Linked DNA regions of Drosophila melanogaster. The protein of the gene in region 4 interacts with the protein of the main gene of each other region in a pairwise test. Each region holds a gene or a part of one and is shown on either strand. Other genes may lie near its edges. The genes, in order: CG13510, CG5550, CG9184 and Hey.

The links.
Region 1: the proteins of Hey (region 4) and CG13510 interact in a two-hybrid assay, tested with the Drosophila melanogaster proteins (one large-scale study listed by BioGRID).
Region 2: the proteins of Hey (region 4) and CG5550 interact in a two-hybrid assay, tested with the Drosophila melanogaster proteins (one large-scale study listed by BioGRID).
Region 3: the proteins of Hey (region 4) and CG9184 interact in a two-hybrid assay, tested with the Drosophila melanogaster proteins (one large-scale study listed by BioGRID).

Annotation. Positions count from the first base shown.
Region 1 is NT_033778.4:22,655,921-22,662,473, forward strand, and holds CG13510 (uncharacterized protein), read left to right. Parts: upstream 1-1,980; 5' UTR 1,981-2,068; coding exon 2,069-2,355; intron 2,356-3,002; coding exon 3,003-3,105; 3' UTR 3,106-3,791; coding exon of another isoform or gene 3,792-4,057; intron 4,058-4,115; coding exon of another isoform or gene 4,116-4,218; 3' UTR 4,219-4,630; coding exon of another isoform or gene 4,631-4,941; intron 4,942-5,148; coding exon of another isoform or gene 5,149-5,245; 3' UTR 5,246-5,469; downstream 5,470-6,553. Other genes in the region: CG43326 (uncharacterized protein), read right to left, coding at 1-153; CG43325 (uncharacterized protein), read right to left, coding at 433-544, 697-1,058; CG13511 (uncharacterized protein), read left to right, coding at 3,792-4,057, 4,116-4,218; CG42565 (uncharacterized protein), read left to right, coding at 4,631-4,941, 5,149-5,245.
Region 2 is NT_033778.4:16,814,148-16,818,149, reverse strand, and holds CG5550 (uncharacterized protein), read right to left. Parts: upstream 1,562-4,002; 5' UTR 1,537-1,561; coding exon 929-1,536; intron 878-928; coding exon 733-877; 3' UTR 573-732; downstream 1-572.
Region 3 is NT_037436.4:1,320,807-1,324,744, reverse strand, and holds CG9184 (uncharacterized protein), read left to right. Parts: upstream 1-1,938; 5' UTR 1,939-1,962; coding exon 1,963-1,993; intron 1,994-2,042; coding exon 2,043-2,740; 3' UTR 2,741-2,953; downstream 2,954-3,938. Other genes in the region: Myo61F (myosin 61F), read right to left, coding at 116-174.
Region 4 is NT_033778.4:7,994,723-8,000,350, reverse strand, and holds Hey (Hairy/E(spl)-related with YRPW motif), read left to right. Parts: upstream 1-2,072; 5' UTR 2,073-2,258; coding exon 2,259-2,518; intron 2,519-2,931; coding exon 2,932-3,146; intron 3,147-3,887; coding exon 3,888-4,690; 3' UTR 4,691-4,913; downstream 4,914-5,628. Other genes in the region: Dic3 (dicarboxylate carrier 3), read left to right, coding at 5,424-5,628. UniProt on the Drosophila melanogaster protein: Transcriptional repressor which acts as a downstream effector of Notch signaling.

The DNA.
Region 1 (6,553 bases), about 15 Mb from region 4:
CTGGTAGCTGCTGGGTCCGATGCTGAAGAATCGCACCTGGGGTTTGCTAGGGCGCTCCTCCAGCGTGACAGTGGTGGCCGCCGACTGGCTATCCCTGTCCCCCTCCTGGAGATCCACCTCCAGATCCGCATCCAAGTCGTTTCCCCGAGACATTGCGACTGGCCGGCGTCAAGTGCTAAACATTTTGGCGAATCCCGAGGCAGTGAAATTCGAAAAAGAGATCTATCTGACCAAAGAGATCTAATTGAAGAGAAACCACTGAGAGAATCATGCAGCAATCAACAATTTTTTGGCACTCGGCTCTTCAGTCTCAGCAGCGCTCATCACTCGCCGCAAGGTCAACAAAAAGTGCTTAAAAACTAAACAAAACAAACAATTATAAGCGGAGCACCCACTCCGTTTGCCCCAACCCACGACCCCCATCCCTTCATCTCACTGTCTTTTCCATGCCCCCAAGAGGTAACCACACTTGCCGCAGATGACCTTGCAATCGTTGGTGGAGCGCCTCGGGCAGCAGGGATAGATGGGCAGCAGGGCAAAGCAGCTGGAAATGGATAAGGAAATAATCTGAATTAGAAATATAAATACTTCCGATCTTTGTTATTATCCTAATAGCCCTATACTACGATTAAATAATCTTATTTATATTCCATCCTAAGAATTTACTTTAAAGAAATGTCCTGGCCTTGCACTCACCACATGGTAAGGAGTCGCTCCAGGCGGACTCCCTGCTCGTGCAATCGCTCGTGGCACTCCGGACAGTACATCTGGCGGAGGCAACTAATGTTGGTGGCAGCGGGCGGCGGAGGTGATACCTTCTCGGCCAGTTGGCCTGTGGAGTTGCTCTTCCGGCAGAAGTAGGTATCCGGCTCGGAGTCCTCGGCATAGCCGTAGGGATAGCCTCTGTGTGGGGGCGTGGCCAGGAGCAGCTGGTCCAAGGCCTGAGCCGACTTCTGCTTGACCTGGCCGCAGTTGGGGTTCAGGTTAATCTCCACCAGATCCGCTGCGAACTCCTCGTCGTCGGGAGCTTGAAGGTGGAACTTTAGCTGACGGCTCATGTTGTTGAACTGACTCGACTCGGGTTTTCTATTTGCCTATAAATTGGGTTATTTTACAATTGAAACATAAGAAACATAAGTCAAACAGCTATCGCTTGGCGAGGGGGATTTATTATTATATTTTTTGGGCTGAGGGGGGAGTTAGACAAACCAGTTGTTCATCTGTTTGTCAAGCCCCCGTATTTGCCTAACACTATTTTCATGGTTGCGATGTTAACGGCTGCACTTGAACGTAGATCCCATGAGGAAAGCTTCCACAAAGCTGCCGGCGAGTGGGTGGTAAATGGAGCTTTTTCTATAAAAAATATACACAGTTATCTTAACCCATTGAAGATCGAAGTCTGTTTTTATTTTGACTTGAATAATTAAGACATTTCATAAGGTTTTTCAGGAAATAGTATCAAGCACGGAAAATATATATATTATTTTTAATCACAAATTAAGCAAGTTACACATTAATATCCAATATCCAATAAATAATTAAAAAAAATAAAGGCTTCACAAATGGAATGATGATGCTTCAACTGGCAAAGAATCATATCTACATATGTACATATATATAAACCGGTCACGCATTTGGTAAATTACAAAAATATTATATTATGGCGAGAGCACTCGAGTCGACAACCTGTGTTTGTTTATACTCTCTCCTCGCAAAATACACGTACTAAATGTTACATATGTATATTTTGGCCTTATTCATTGCCTTTATATGCAATAAAGGTGTTATCAAACAAGTGACTCATCTGTCGCCTATTCGGAGGAGAAGCATCGCTGTAGCTCACTAAATCAAGTGCACAATAAAAGAGGTATCCGATTATTAGTTCGACAGAAACCCCACTTGTATGGTAGCTATCACCTCTCGACGATAAGATAGTAGCCAATCGTTGAGGTATTGCGGGAGCCACAGTTTAAGTTCGTTCCTCAGTGCAACGCCAGCCAGCAAAGCGATCGGTTCAGTTCGGCCGGAAATCCAGAGTCTGCATCAAGAAGAAACATAATCCGAAACTATGGACAGCAAGCAGCCTCCACCGTACAGTGAACAGTCCGGATACACTCCCGCACAAACCTATCAGCCCGGTGGCCCCACCCAGCCACCACTGTACCCACCGATGCCGCAGCCACCGCAGTCCTCAACGGTGATCATCCAGACCACCACAACCTCCAACCTGGTGCCCATCGGCAGTGGACCCACCCGCATCCGCTGTCCCTCCTGTCACGCCGAAGTACTGACCACCGTGAAGTCCACTCCTTCCGGCAGGACGCACTGCTGGGCCCTCATCCTGTGCCTGTTCATGTGAGTCTTATAGTCACTAGTCATCTGATCTGAAGTCACTGCTTGCCACCATATGTATGTATGTATGTTGATTGGTCTCAGGAGCTTTGGGCCAACGAAAGTATCTTAGGGGGGACTTAGTGCTTCATTAATCCAGTCAAATGACCTTTTTATAAAATTGCGCAAAATGGAGTAAACCATTTTTAAAAGCAATACAAATCGGATATGTTGCCTATTAAATTCAGTAATATACATAGATGATATGATATCCTATAGATGATATCCTAACAATCTAGATATGTTTTCGTATCGCCCAAGCAGAAATGTTCTATAACCATTTTATTGCCAACTCGTTACAATAGCTCGGTTAAATGTTAAAAAGCTACGCCCATGAACCACTTGCGGCCCCTTATCGCTTGGAAAAAACAATAGGTTTCTACAGGTATTGCGACTGTGTGTACTGGTAATATGTGAAAACATTGTTATCTCAACTGGAACTGGAGTTGAGTCAGATAACGAATCCGAGTGGAAAGACGGGGTGAAAGCAAGCAAACTGACTGATTACGGCCTGTAGACGTCGTAAAGGCCAATTCGGAATTAGTGCTCTGACTAATAGTTTAATTCCCCGAACTTATCTAATCGATTCGTTTTCCACTCTATCCACACAGCTGCTGGCCGTGCGTATGCCTACCTTACTGCATGGACTCCTGCCAGAATGCCAACCACTACTGCCCCAACTGCAGCGCCTACATCGGCACCTACGAGAACTAACTAACTAACGCCTATTTATGCATACAAACGTATATACCTATAGAGAACCCTAAGCACTAGCGTCATAACCGAGAAAAATTGAACTGTAAATACACATGTACGAACGCCACACATTAAACTCATGAGACTCACACAGGAAACAGAAATGCGACAAGATATCTTGGGACAAGGCACTCTTTCCGCTAAATGGATTATGAAGTAATTTAATATTTTCAGAAATGTCTATGATAATGTTGACATTATTTAGTATTTTCCACTACATTTTGTACTGGTACTAAACAATTTCGATCGATCATTACGAGAAACCAACGCCAACATTTTAATGACCATTTTAAAACAATCTTTTTACTTTTTACTATCGCTTAAAAACCGTAATCAGTAAAATGGATCATAAATATCATAAATAGCTAAGACTATATCAATTGTTGTCTAGGAAACATAAACCCTTCTGGCACCTACTCAAGCCAACAACTGGAAATGGCCAAATGGCACAGAGCTACTGGAACCGAATGTCAATCGATTAGGTACTGCACTGGCCGACTCCTCTTGTACCCCTCCATATCGTCATAGTCATAGTAGGTTTCACCTAAAAAGTACTTGTCGATTAGTCAGAAAAGATAACGATTGCGATAGAGCAATGTTGTCATTAAATGGCGGGCTATTTCAGTGCATGCCCCGCCGCAAACATGAGCAGCACATGGATGGGCAGAGCTCCAGAACCGGCCGACACGGAAATGGTGACCGTAACCACGCAGCCAAACTATGGGGTGGTGGTGACCCAGATACCCGTCTACACCCTGAACGGAGTGGGGCCGGGCGCACATCCACTGGCTGTGGGCTGCAAGCCGATGAGGGTGAGGTGTCCGTCCTGCAGGGGCGAGGTCACCACCAGTCTGGCCACGTCCCCCACCCGCAAGACCCACATGTGCGCTCTGACCTTGTATATCTGCTGGTGAGTGGGGCGTCAGGATACCACCGGGCTTACTAACTTTGCTAACCTGATTCTCCAGCTGCTGGCCCTTCATCTGCCTTCCCTACTTCATCAACTACTGCAAGAGTGTCCAGCACTACTGTCCCAACTGTGGATGCCACATTGGGAGCTATAGCATTTGATCAAGTGCTGTGTCTCCGCACTGCCAAAAATGCCTTCCATGTCAAGACTTAATCAAGATTAGCCATATATGTATACAGATACATAAAATAATAACGTTTTAAATTTAAGTTCTTTTTGTTAATGACGGATGGTTTCTACTACTCTCACTGCACATATGAAGTAATCTTTTCTGGTCCATAATTTCCTCACCTAGTGTGCCAGTAGATAGATTTTATATTCGTATTAGGATAAATACCCAGAATATGAGGAAAGCGAATCAATTGAATACCGATACCGATAAGGCAGTTCTGAGTTTAATGAAACTGTCATCGATATACATATACGGAAGCTTTCAGTATTATATCAGTGCTCGTTCGCAGCTGTAAGCAACTGGTTGATATTTTTAGTGTGATTTGAAGAGTATAGAAAAGCATGCGTTGCTACAAGCGCGTAGACTCCCCGCCGCCCTACTCGGATCCATTCGCCACCGCTCCTCCAGCGGAGGACGTCATGCAGCAGAACCTGGCGTCGCCCGCACATCCCAATCCGGTGATACCCGTGATGGCCCAAACCATGCCGGTGTTGCAGCCCGTAAGCGTGATGCATCACCAGACGACAGTGCTGGTGGACAATACCCGCCAGGGAACGATCTGTCCCCACTGCAACGCTCGGATTCGCCTTCGCGTGGAGCACCATCCTACCGGATCAACTTACTGTATGGCGGCGTTGCTCTGCCTATTCCTGTAAGTAGATCGCATTTATGGTTGCAAGTATAGCAACAAAGGTTTGTACATACATAATGTGTATGTAAGCAAACGGAAAAAGAAATGTTTTTACTAGTCTGCTATATCTGTGGCCGCAATTGTTTTGCTTCTTCCTGGACAAGCTATGAGAAATTGCTGATCGTGCCTTATAAGCTATATACTCTATTTCCCATCTCTATCCACCAGATGCTGGCCCTGCGTCTGCGCCCCTTGCTGCTGCAACTGTTGCTACAAGACCTCCCAGTACTGTCCCAACTGCAACTCCTGCTTGGGTTCGTTTTGAAGACGCAGCGAAAACACTCGCCGATTTCATATCATTTCATTTTATATATATGTATATATATATACATAACCAACTATACATACATATATGTATGTATGTTCATATCTCCTTATGTATCGACGGCGTCAATGTGGTGTCTTCATCACTTAACATACATAAAAATATGTTTGCTTAGTGAGCAAAATAAGCTGACAGCGAAAAAATAAACAAATAGATTTTGAAGCGAATGGAATTTTCTTTAATTTCTGTTTCTGGGTATCTGGCTACATTGTTGCTGCAGACAACTAGATTTGCAGAAAAAATAATGTGAAACTTAATTGTTCATACGTTTTTTTTTTTTGTTTTTGTGTACTTTTTGGCGGTCTTTTCCCGAAACTTTTTCGTAGCACAACTCTTTTGTGTCCAGCAATAAATGTTGATATGAAACTGTTTTGAACCGGTAAAATGTTGCTGGGACGAACCGGCATGTTGGCACAGTTTAAATTGATGCTAAGATGCTTCAAGATTACTGTTCATGCTATTAAATGAAATCACTGAAGTTCTTTGCATTATAATTGAATATTTAGTAAAATATTTGAATTTCTGCTAAATGTTTAGTTCTTAAGAAATGGAATAAAAGGATTTTAATTTAACTCAGCCTAGGGATACGCTGTAATCAATTTTAAGGATGTATATAAATATCACTTCCCAGTTAGGCAACATAATGTTGCTAACGGAAATACTTTTGGAAGTGTAGTGTCCCGCTTCGCGCCCTAAACTTCTGACCGCACAACACTTTCGCAGCCCAAACAGTGCGCATTAACTTTTTGTCTCTCTGTGAAATCGGAATTCTACTTTATTTATTTTGACAACGTACCCACCCATACAGATTGTAAGTATGACGGGAGAGATATATTATGCAAGCCTAGGATTGGGTCAAACATGAGCAACGGACTATTATAGTCAGGTCTAATTGGGTAATATCTGGTTGTTTAGATGTTTACCGCTGCTTTGCCGCTCCCCAAAAAATTTACTTTTGCTTGGGGGAGAACTCAGCAAAGACATACAGGACGACAGTAGGATTTCGGGGGGAATGTTAATCACTGGCGACGGACACACCCGCTGTTAAATAAGGATACTGTGCTGGGTGGTTTGCGCTAGTGAGAACATACATAAATAGATTGTGTTGATTTTGGATAGGACCAGACCGAGCAAGCAAGTTGCACCAAACGACGAGCAAAGATGATGGATGGAATCGGGGTTGAGCGGGGCTCAGACACACGCGGTTGTGCGATGACGGCGTCGGCACGAAGCTTGCCACATGGCACA
Region 2 (4,002 bases), 8.8 Mb from region 4:
CGATATAGCGATATGCGATACATTTGTCATACTCCACTCCATATGCCGTGAGTCGAGAAACTGCCGAGATCAGCTGATTTTCCGGGGTCCCAACATGAATATGAATGGGGAGAATTTGATATGATACTTTGCCTTTAATTACTTCACTTGAAAGTTGGCCATTGTACGTCAATTGAGTCATCATCATTATCCGTGCACCCGAGTCCAAAAGCCCGATAATAAATAACAAAAGCATTTGGGGGCTGCGCTGCGGTTATTGGATACACAAGCGGATATACAACACTCCCCATCAGAACTTTGGAAACGGGAATGGGGGCCTGGGCAGGAACTGGGCTGCCCGACAAATGTTTCTCATAAACCACAATTTGATATCTGCAAACAGAACTTGAGAACTTGAACTTGAACGGCGATGCAAATGCGAGAAAAAGTTTCTTATCAGCATTATGCGTTTTACAAGAAGTAAGCAATATTATTCCAACCTAATAGCGATCAAATAAACGGACAATGTGAAGGGGATTTCCAGTGTTTGCTCTCTATCGTTCAAATATTTAGGCCAATAAAACAAAAGCTGTGCAATCTATTTAGATATATTTACATAATTAAAATAGGTAAATAAATAAATTGAATGTATAACTATTGGTAAGTTTTTTACTGTTAGCAAATAACTAATCAGCTCATAGTTTTAGGCAGTTATCTAGTCAGTTAAACAAGTACTTCTAAAGTATCAAGGACTTATTTTGGTCGCACCATAATGTTAACAGTCTTGTAGCTGTATGTGAAGCCCTTCCATTCTCCCCAAACGATTCCAGAGCCAAACAGCGCGGGATCGGTGTGGTTTCCACCCAGATATGCACCATTCAGATTGCTGCAAGGGATTCTTTATGAGTACTATGATCTTGGAATCTTGGGAAAAGGTCAAAAACCTTACCTGCTAAGGCATTCTCTGTACCACCAGGCTCCCATATATCTGGCAGCACAGTTGATAGTGGCATTGTCGTTATCCCTATCGAAGGTGCTGAAAGGTTGGTACAGATGATAGCTCAAACTGTCTCCGGCGGTTCCACTGTACGCGCCCAGCTGGGTTATCGGGTAATTACTGTACACGTTGCCCACGTGAAACACACTGTAGTGGGCATACCGCTTCTCGCCAGCAAAGTCCACCAACTCAATATACAACTCTTGGGGTTGCAGGGACGAGATCTTGTTCAGATTATTCAATCCGATGAAGAAGTTACCCTTAAGGTCACCGAAACCCGTCTGATAAGAGGTCCAATTGCGGTAGAAGTTCTCCTCCACACTGACTCTTCGCTGGACGACCAGCCAGCCCTTTCCGGCGATTGTCACATCGCAGTACACTTCGATTACATCGGAGCCCACTTGGATCTTCTGGACACCGCTCTTCTTTGGGTTCAACTCCTTGCAGGATGAACTATACTTCTTGTACGTCTGGATCTTCACATTTTCACCAATCTCAGCGCTGGCCAAATAGAAAAGGCCTAGCGAAAATACGCAGAGTGCGAAGCAAATGGGTTTCATTGTGTTGGCTCGAAACGACTATCAAATCAGTTGGCCAAGACAAACCATTTTATATCAGTTGTATACTTCTTATCATATTTTTACTATTGGTCATTTTCGACCAGCCAGTTGATAAACCCCTTTTGATTAAATCCCCTCTACGATCTTTTAGTAACTAATTTGGACAAGAGATAAGAAACTACTATTCAGACAGTTAGTCATCTTTATGGGGGAGTTTTCTTGGAATATGCTATCTACAATCTTTACATTTTGACAACGTTGATAATTCCAAGGTAAACCCCAATTGTATTTTTGGGTATAACAAAGTTTTACTGTACTAATGAAAGATATTTCAAGGCACTCAATTAAAGTCCTTACAAAGGATATAATTGATTAAAAAATGATTCCAAAGGATGTTTCATGTTTCAGGGACGTTATATTGTTCAACCCGCCTTATAAGAATAAGGAAATGCGATTTAAATCTTTAAGCAGGTGGCATAAATAAGGTTCGTACCATGATGATTTTCATAATAAGTTTGAAAGGGCCTATCATGATAAACAAATTATTATTATTTGAAATTGATCAGTAAAATAAAAAGTATATCAACAAGTTTGAAGAAAAACTTGAGACTTCTATAATTTGCAACATGGCGCCACGAGTTTATTAGTAGCAAATTACCCGACTAGCACAAATCACTTTTTATCGAGAATTCTAATTATACGATAAGCTTAATATAAGCAATCACATTTCTTCGTAGAGATCGACTAGCTGATTTTGCCAGAAAATAGAACATAATACATTGAAGGCTCGGAAAAACTTCGTTCGTAGCGCTATACAAATATTTACAAAGAATCCATTTCCCATTTCCTGTTTCTAGGCAGTTGGATGCACTTTGGACAAGTGTCAAAAGGTGTCACCAAAGGTGCTACCACCCCTCACCATCAGATCATGTTATGTTTTTTTTTAGTTTTTTTTCTTTTTTGGTTTTTGACAACTTTTGGAATAATGTGACAGAGCATGTCGGCTACCAAAGTTGCACCGCCGGCGGAAAGAAACTACTATGGCGAGAGGTGACAACTCGAATGACAGCAGATATAAGAGCCACCTACAAAGTGCACACAAATACCCTACTCCCACTCCCACTGGTTTCTACTACCATATCTCGTACCACCAACATATGCCACACCATTATTCCAAGCAACAAACAAACAAACAAACAAATGAACAAATATTTGCCACAAAGAGCGAGGAAGACAAACCCACAAGGAAGACGACTGGGAGCCTGAAGAACGATAAAATGGCATTTATGATAAATACATAATACTCGATGTTTACACACTCATTCAGTAACGCATATAGAACACTGGGAAAAAAGTATTTCATTTTAACCTGGATTCAAAATATTACGTTATTTAAGCAGTCGGTTTAATAGTACAAGTAATCAAAATTGGTCATTTGTTTGGCTACCAACTAAAGGTGAACTAAATTGGATTTTAGGACCCCTGTTTTATTTTTTCAGTGTACGATATATAGGCAATAGACGTGTTGTCTACGGCATTTGGCACAGCGATGAGGAATGGAGGCGACCGGAATGGGAATAGGAGTTGGGGAGCCAGAAAAACAGAACAGAATTCAAGTGTCAAAGTGACAGTTTTGAAATTGATTGCAGCAGCAGCGACAATTGTGTGTGCGTTGCGGCTGATAAATAAGGCAGCTTTAAACCGACTTAACCGAGAGCCATTGGGGTTATCTAATGGAGCCAGAGATAGACAACCCAGATAGAATACCCCAGCTCCATATCAATATCAACTTGTTCATATGATTGACAGGCGACACGTGGTCAGCTCCCTGGAGTTCATGCGCATTCGATTATCGCGATCACGTCGCAACTGTGGCATAAACGATATTTGCCCCATACACTCTACCTAGCCCATTTTCCGTTCTGCCGATGACAACGGAATATAAATTAGAGGTGGAAAATGGCATAAATTCTTGGCATGCCTACGCGTATGAGAAATGAATCGATACGAATCAACCAGACCCATAAGCAAAATCCAAGCAAAGATCAAGCAAAACTCGAAAATTATTAGAAGTACGGGACGCCGTCTGTCAAATATCGCCAAACAAATTGACAACGAGGGGAGTGCGAAACTAACGAACGTTACGAATCCAACAGAACAGGAAAATAAAGCAAATTTATGGTCGAGTTCCCCAACGAGAGCAAAAGGTGACCAGCATGCCCCAAACACCTGGGAACGAGCCAATTCCAAAAAAATCGTGTTCTAAGCTCAAAAAAAAAAAAAAAAAAAAAAAAAAAATCAAAAAATTGTTTGTAAAATAATAATTTGTAGTTATTGAAGTCTATACCACTCTTTTTAATTGATTTTTTAGGCACATGGCTGAATTTCTTCCCCCTTTTCGAGTATTTTTTTTTTGGCGCAGTGGTGAAGTAAATAAATGAAGTGGCATGTGAAAATATTTCACAC
Region 3 (3,938 bases), on a different chromosome or scaffold from region 4:
ATAATGTGGTTCCTCCTAGCTACGCGAACCAGTTTCTTGGTTTTTAGATAACTAATCAAGAATTATTCTATATGATTTATAATCTATTCACTTTCTTTATCTTAGCACTGCTTACTCTATGTAGTCCTTAGTATCCATTATTGCGAAGATCAAGGATTTGATTTCAATGTACATAAGGAATTCCTTTACTTAGTTCTTGCTCCACAATTAGCTAATTTCATAAACTTGCTTCTCCAAAATGTAAATTATAACTTAATGCTTTCAAGATTTCTAGATGACTGCCGCGCTTTCGGGACATTTCTGAGTGAGTCAGAGCTCGAAACTCACAACCCCGACTCAGAAAAGTGCTCCAGCTCACATTAGCACTGTGTTATCAGCTATCAGTGTGCTAAATAATAAGTCATTGCCGAATGAAAACATTGTAAGTACACACACTAGATTGCAATTGCCTCCACCGCCACTATTGTGTGTTTCCATCCACTCTGCGCCACTTGGAAGGGGATTTGCTGTGTGGAACTGGAACGAATGCCTGACTAATTGCGAAATGTTTGCCGGGAAGACTTCCCAGGAATTCTCGAAGAGACCGGCAGACACGTCCCAGTCGTTGGAGCCGAGCTCGCCGTGATTCGATGTTTGTCACATAATTGTTTAATTGCACGTAGGGCAGATGGAAGTGGATATCGATCATGTCGAAAACCATATACGAATACATCACCCAATGGGCACAGCCATTTGCAGTCATTCTGCAATCACTTTAGCACTTTTGACAAACCAACCATCGCCTAAGATTATGCTACGTCTATTTAAGGAATCCACAAGTTGGAGGGCAGGTGAGTGCAGATCTCATGGAACTGTTTGGGATCCAATTGACACGAGTATATGTTGTATGATAAGAGAGTTGCCAAAGTTGACTGGGTGGCGGGGCAAGCCTCTACAGATACTTTCATGATTAGATAAACTAGCTGGGGGATATAAAATGAATTAAACTGTAAATATTAATGAGTGTGTAGTCATTATAATTATACTTTGCTCAATATCCCTGCAATAACACGGTTTCTCCCTACTATGAAGTCATTGACTTTCTGTTCCCTGGGGGCGTTGCTTTTGTCGGCTTGATCCACTCTTTCTTTAATCCCCATTCAGCGGTCTAATAGAGTGGGGAACTGGTTTCCCGATCCAGAAATACTCCAACGGGTGATGTAACAGAGAACTCCACATTTTGTTGTATCAGACGACTCGTAAACATGTCTACGACACACGACCTATAACGGAACCCAAAAACCATGAGTCCCACCCAAACGAAAAAGTTCCTAACCCATTAATCGCACACCGAAAGAAATAGTCGAGCATTAAGAATAGGAAACCAAGAGGCAGAGGCTGATTTGCTTTGTAGCGAGATGGAGAAATACATTCGTAAAAAGTAAAGATAAGTTCTAAAGACGGAAACTCAACGATAATACAATAAGTTCAAGGGCACATATTTCCAAAAAATTTGTTGCCAACTCAAGAGCTTTGCTGAATATTTTTTTGTTCAGTGGCATGACCAACCTTCATCTGCATTCAAATGTCGTCATATATCAAGCAGCAATATCGCGGGATATTGAACTCTTCGAATTCATTTGGAAAAATGCAGGGCTGGCAGAACGATCATGGAAGTGGAATGAGAAGTGGAAAGATCCCACAAAGCCCCTACAAGCATTTATATCATATGCAAATTAATGAGCGCAGTTATTAGAACGGTGCTTGATCGATCCGAGATCGAGATCGAGTTCGAGCTGGAGCTGGAGCTGGGGATGGAGATGGAGATGGACACAGAAGAAAGAAAGGCATCCCAAATTTGGGCCACTGCATGGGTTATTCTAATGAGGAAACCGGGAACGAGATCCCACACATCTCATCACAGATGCACCGCGTATAAAAGGGCAATGCAACTGGAGTGGTCAGGTTATTCCGAGAGAGATCATGGATCGGAGAGTGACTGCGATTGGTTTGGGTGAGTACGGACGATCGGCTGCCTAGAAAGAGTGACACATCCTTTTCAGTTATCCTGCAGCTGCTGGTCAGCGGCCTCTGTTTCCAGGAGAAGGCGCCACTGCAGACGAGCCTGGTCAGCGGACAGGCCAGGACCGAAAAGCAGCAACAGGTGCTGGACGATCCGCTGGGAAGTGGACGCGGGATTGACGAGCACCTGCTGAAGACCATTGGTAAGGGCGGCATCAAGCTGGTGATGGCCTCGGGAGCCCCGTCGACCACCCCGAAACCGTCAGTACAACACCATTACTATTATCCACCAGAGGATCAGCAGCACCCACGGCAGTATGGCTATCCACCGCAGTGGTCGCCAGGACCGCCCGCTTATCCGCCGCCACCGCAGCGTCCTTGGGGGCCACCCCCTCCGCCCGGACCACCGCCGCCAGGACCTCCTCCTCCGCCGGGACCCTACTACAATCCCTACTACAATGGCTACAACTACTACGGCGGATATGGCGGCTATGGATATGGGGGCTTTGGATATCCCGGCTTTGGCGGCTATTCTGGCTATCCCTACTATCCCTTCTATCGCTCCTCGACGGCTGGCGAGGTCGATAACCAACTTCCCGGTGCCGATGGACTCACTTCCGCCGCCATTCCTGGCGTTTTCCAGGGCAGGGCCGTGCTGTCCCACCAGAACTTCCTCGACGGCAGGAACAACGCTAACGTTGTGCCACTTTATCACCTACTCCAAATGGCCAGGGCTTGAAGTACTCTAATCCAATCATTGATTAAAACTTAATAAATTGTGTACCATGTATATTCCGAGTAACCGCGTGATGCATTGTAGTTCTTACTTATCATCGCATGCGTTCTAGTTTATAGCCCTATTCAATATCTAATCGATTCTGACTGGATAAATGTTTAAAGAAATCGTCCAACTGAAAGCCCATAATAGTAGAAACAGAATTGCAGAAAGGAGAAAGGCAGAAGGTGTTTCTATTAATCCACTCGAGATTGACGATTACTTAAACCCTGATAATAGCTTTGCCAGATCATCCAACTGAATGGATCGTTAGATTATAAAGAACCCAGTTGAGGCCGCTGACCGAGAGTAAAGATGATCGAATTCGTTCAAACGATCGTCATCATCGTCATTTCTCGCACCCGCAAAGACTGGAAATTCAAATTCAAACTGGGCAAACTTATCGAGCCGGTTGCAAATACATATGTATATAAGAGAATCTGGACGCTCGGTTGCTGAGTCACCCGCTTTTAGGGACGAGTCTTCTGGGCACGAGGAGATCTCGAGGAGATCACGCCGCCATTGTGACGCATGCCAAGTGCCTGGGTCTCGGTCTCGGATAACCATTAAGTATTAAACAATCACTGGGGCCCGCTGTTTTCTTAGCTCACTGCGAGCCATAAAAAGCGTCAACAGCTGAGGCCGATCTTGAACGCGATTTACTGCCAATTGCAAAAAAAAAAGAAAAAATCTGCTGAAAGAGCTGCCCAAAAGCGTTTCGTTTTGTTTCGTTTTTGCCTTTCCTACTGTTTTGGCCGCTTCAAAACAGACTTTTTGCTCGTACTCACGTCGAATAAGAGTTTGGAGTTTGGGATTGGGGCTTCCACGAAAAGCCCTTACTTGGCACTTTACCGAACCTGAGCAAATCCGAGGTGCGATGTAATGGTGATCCCAACACGAGCTCACTCAAGCTCACTCCTCCGTCGAAAGAAATGGAATGGAGTGGAAGTGCTGGCTCCGTGTTCTTGGTTCCTCGCCAGTCGAACTTTATGACTAGTGGGGATTTTTGCTATAATTGTACTTGTGCCATACAATTGATTGAATGGGGCATATTGCCACATGGCCAATTACCGCTTTATTAAGGTGGATCAGCAGTTTCTCAGCCAGGATACTACAGATAATAGTAGAATGCCGTCAATATTTGTAATTTAAAAGGTGAAAA
Region 4 (5,628 bases):
GCCATTAGACATTAGGCATTTTCACTTTGCTGCTTGCCGCACTCGAAACCTGAGCGACAGCATGCCGAATCAAATGAAAAGCACTTTTTATAATTTTCGATTTTGATGTACGTTTTTGAAATTGATACGGGGCTCCATTATAGTCAAGCTTACGCCTCGACCATCGAAATTAATCGAGAAAATGGGAGAAATGCTACACTAAATCATTTTGTGGGGGAGAATAACTAATGATATTTCCAGTTATATGCGAAATTGCAACATATAATAGTAAAGGGATATAAAAGTATATACAATAGTATAGGGATTCATATAGCAATATTGGGATTCTTTAGGGTGACAGGACAAAGGAGTTGAAATGAACATTTTAACATAGATATCTACAGAAGAATTATTTTTGCATAACGATAATTCAAGTATAGTTTTTATTAGGGAAAGTTATGTCAAACCACAACGTACATATATATGTAAATATATCAGCTCCACCGTATACTGTTTTTCATTCGCATTTTAATTGTTTTTAATCTACTGCTAGCTTTAAACACACATTCCGTGCGGCTGATATAAGAAATAATGGGAAATTTTGGATGAAATAGTTTATCATAATAAAATTTATAGGTAATATTGACATTGATCAGCTTGTTATATTGAATTTATGAACACAATACTGTCAAAATATATTACATTAAAGTTAATGGGGAAACATTAACCAAAACAGACAGAACGTTAATTTCGATGTTAACTATCTCAGCTTGTAAAATCATTAGAAAAACTGACAAATTTTGGTGGAATAGCGATCAAAGCTGTCAAAAAAAATAGTGAAATCAAAAATATCAAAACATTTTTCAAAAGTTTTAGATTGACAGCTTGTGGCCATTAGACTGGGAGTGGCCAAAATATTTTTAAAAAATATGACAATTTTGCAAAAGTATGGACGTGGCAGTTTTAGCCGGTTTGTGTCCTTAAGAGTAGGCGTTGCAATCTTCTGTAACAATCTAGCTCTTAATCCTAGTAACTAGTTTTACATTCATGCTTTTATAGTTCCCGAGAGCTCAGCGTTCATACAATTACAAGGAACAATTAAGGAAGTTATAAGATTAGCCAATTCAGCAAAAAATTTAGAATGGATTAAATCATGTGAATATTCGAAATGCAGTGACAAAGCGCATCTAAGAGTTTATAATGGCAAATCAAAAAGATAAAGAAAAAGATAAAGCTCACGTCTGCTTTTTCGTAAAATTGTACAACATATTTACGTTTTACCGTCGCCATCCAAGTTCCTTATATCCCTTTGTGATGAAACGCTGCTTTCGATAACATTAAAGTGAATTATTTCCGCATTAGCATATTTCTAGGTAAACAAGTCGATTTTACCTCGGGCAATTTCTAGGTCAACTTCGGTCACCTGCTGCCGCAGTCGTTGTTATCTCGTCTCCTGCTCCTGCTTCTGCACCTGTGGATGTTCCCGTTCCCATTCCGGACCCGGGATGCCGCAACCTTGAGCCGGCACTGACCTAGAACTGTGTGGGCCACCCACCAGCACGCGTCCCACTGCACAGATAGAGGTCAACGGCGGCTGTTGCACTTGTTGGGGCTTTACCCGGCGCCACGCGATGCCACACGACCGGCGCGTGCTCCAGTTTGAGTTCCATGGACGGGTGCAGCCGCTCCAGCGGCAAACAAGTGGACGGCGGACGCCGCCAGTTTGTCGCCCACGGCGCCGATTAAAGGCCGTGCTGCAGATGCTTTAGATGCTTTAGATGCTTTAGAGGCTGCTGAAAGGCTATATCAGATGGTCGGGCGATACAATCGGATGAATCGATGACAGAGGCTTGCTCATTTGCCGGCGCTGGTCGCTCCTTGTCGCACACTCTCACTTGCTCACTTGGCGGCGATCGCCGCGCGGCGAATATGTTTGCTTCCCGTTTCCTACCCCAATCTCGGCAAGCACGCGCTGCGCGTTGCCAGGGGGTGGTTGCTGCTGCATCTTATTGGACGGCTGCCGCAGGCGGTAAAAAGGGGTTGAGCGGCGGCAGCGGAGGGCAGGTCGTCCGCTCGACGTGTGCTACAGAATCAGTCGAACGCCGTTCGCGCACACGATAAGTCACGTGCTCAAACTAGCTCCGCCAGCCCGGTCTAGCCGCCAACTGCATCTGCCTCTGCAACTAGCAGCACGCAAAGCTACAGCTCAGCAACAGCAACATCAACACAGTAGTGTCAAGTGCGCAGGAGCAGCGAGTAAACACTGGTCACCACACACAATGGATCACAACATGCACGTCAATGCGCCATCGCTGCATCACTGGGGCTACGCCGCCGGACCCGGCGTGGTCATGCCCGGCGCCACCGCCACCACACCCCAGAGCCACTGGGTGCCGCCGCCGCAGAGCCACCACAGCGCCCACAGCAACCACAGCCACGGGCATAGCCAGGGCCATAGCCACGGCATCGGCAGCCTGAAGCGGACGCTTTCCGAGAGCGACTGCGACGATCTCTACTCCGAGGAGTCCTCCAAGGAACAGTGCGTACTCGTGACTTCTTATCAAAATTTGTTTTTCAATTTAGTGCACAAAAAGCTATTCGCAGTTCCCAAGTTAGGAGTTGTCTTGTAAAATGAAACCTTTGAAAATACCATGCGATGTGCAAACGTTTTATGTTGCTAAAAAAAATAGTGCGTCATGATATTTACTTAGTGAATCGAAGTCATGGATAACTCCACTTAACGCAAAGTTGCTGATAAACCATCAAAATATAAATCACTAAACTATAGGGTTTTAAGAAAAGATAGATTTTAAAATGTTCTGTAACTTAGAGGTTTTTTTAGTAACACCATAGAGTGTTTTTCAGTCTATGAAAGATTAAGATATTAAGATTAAGAATCTATCATTAACTTCAATCCATAGCTAATAGAAACCCTTTCCTCTGTTCCATTAGAATCTCGCCCAGTGAGCCGGGCAGCTGCCAACTGATGAGCCGCAAGAAGCGACGCGGAGTGATCGAGAAGAAGCGGCGGGATCGGATCAACTCCTCGCTCACCGAACTCAAGCGCCTGGTGCCCTCCGCCTACGAGAAGCAGGGATCCGCCAAGCTGGAGAAGGCCGAAATCCTTCAGCTGACCGTGGAGCATCTCAAGAGTCTGCAGTCTAAAAGTAAGTTTACCAAGCCCACTTGAGCTAGCTTAAAGAGGTTTTAAAAAGCAAATAGGCTAGCTGCACCACAGACCTCCTCACTGAAGTTAAACGCTTCTATGGGTCATTAATCACAATAGGAGCAAATAGAGGGTTAACTTGGGCAGCCAACTAAGTTGGTTAACTAAAAGAAGTAAAGTGTAAAGAAAGTAATTTCTTATTTCGACAGTTAATATTACATTAGGGCCCATTTAGCGCACTAATTAATCAAGGCATATCTGACATACATATGAACTTCAATACATTATAAAAAATTGGAATGGGAAAAACTGCAAGCAGAATCCCTAAACGCAAGCCGCTGTGGGAAACAATTGAGTAACGATATTAAATACAATATGCGGCAAATTATCACAAATCTGGGTAAACAATCCTGACCTGTTGTCCCGAACAGGGTCGAATTGTGGGAAAATTATGATTGCCGTAGGCAAAGCAGGACCACCACCACCAGCGCCAGCCTAGCGCTCAAGTGAATCTCGAATCTCGGGGCTTCCCACGCTCAGTAGCGGCACCACCACGATGGCAACCTTGTAGCCAGGCGCGGGCTTTCACCCCCCGATAGCCACCTCACAACAAGCCATCCCGCCGAAGGACATGGGGGTTGTTCTTTATGCTCGTCGCGTGGGAACAGCTATTTTAATTGTTTGCCTGAACTGGGATTAGACAGCTTATTGACTTTCTCCACCTCCTCGTATCTTGTTGCAGCTCTCGACTCGCTTAGCTATGATCCGCAGCGAGTGGCCATGGACTACCATATCATTGGGTTCCGCGAGTGCGCCGCAGAGGTGGCCCGCTATTTGGTCACCATCGAGGGCATGGACATTCAGGATCCTCTGCGCCTGCGCCTTATGTCCCACCTCCAGTACTTTGTGCAGCAGCGCGAACTGTCGGCCAAGAGCTGCGCCAGTCCGGGTGGCTGGTCTCCGGCTGCTCCCAGCTCCTCCGGCTATCAGCCAAACTGTGCGGCTGCTCCCTACCAGAGCTATGCGGCGCCAGCCAACCCGGGTGCCTATGTGTCCAGCTACCCCACACTAAGTGCCTCGCCCTCTCAGCAGGCTCAGCAACTGGGAGGACGCACCAGTGTCTCGCGGACAAGTGGAAGTGCCGTAACTGAATCGCTGCCCAGCCATGATCTCCACTCTGACAGCAGCAGCCAACAGCAGCAGCAACAGCAGCAGCAACAGCAGCAGCAGCAGCAACACCAACAGCAGCAGCATCAGCAGCAACAGCAACGGACGCAGACAACACCTCAGCCGACGCAGCAGCAACACTATACCCACGACCACAGCGCAGTGCATTCCGAGCAGCAGGTTCCCACCTACATAGAGCTGACCAACAGCAATCGTCCAGCGGCCATAGGTTCCGATAGCCTTAGCTATAGTGCTGCTCCTCAGTATCCGGTCAGCGGACTGCCAGGCCAGGACTACAACAACTCCAGTGTGCTGCAGTACGCCACTCCCAACGGAGCAAAGCCCTATCGTCCTTGGGGCGCCGAGATGGCCTATTGATTGTGGGCATAAGCCTCAGAAGGGATATTTCAACCTCTAGTCAGAGCAGACCAAGTGTGATAGTCTTAAGTTTCGCATCCTACACAGAGAGAAAAAAATGGAGAAACAACGCAGTGAGATTAGCTAGTCCCGTAAGCCTTTAAGCTTAAGTTATACCCTATGATAACTATAACTTTGAACACTTTGTGAATCTATTGTAAATAAACGCATGAGTGTATAAGTGAATATGTTGAAACTCGCTTGATAATTGATATTCGGATCAGGAAAGCCTTTCTAGTTGTTATATTTCGTGAAATCTCGACGTTCATACAGACGGACAGACGGACATGGCCAGATTGAATCAGGTATTGATTCCGATCAAAAATATATATATAATATATAATATATAAGAATATATATAATCCACGAGTAACGGGTATAATTATTAAAAACAATCAAAAAAGTTTAAACAAGTAGTGACGATCCACATTCAAAAATTTGAGGTATATCAATGACGCATACTTTGATTAGTGCTATTATTGGATTATCAGAGAAAATATTAATTTTAACGAACATTCTTGAGGTGCGCTTTGTCACTGCGAGGACTACCAGTTCGCCGTCATAGCGGCTGAATTATCCTTAGCTAAATGGGAACAATTCGTTGCAGCGAAAAATTTACCGAATTCTTTTTAGTTTTACACGTCAGATAGCTTAGGGTTTCTAAAAAAAAATTCCAAGAAATTAAGTTCGGTCTATGGGAGAAGACAGTTCGAGGCGCCTCCCGCGCTGGTGGTTTGGAGGGGTTTGCGCTGCAATCGCAGTCACCGGCACCCATCCGATTGATCTCATCAAGGTACAGCTGCAGACCCAATCCCAAGCGGACCGGAAGACCGTGGGGGAGATCCTTAAAGGCATACACGAGCGGAGCGGAATCTTGGGCTTTTACAATGGCATTTCGG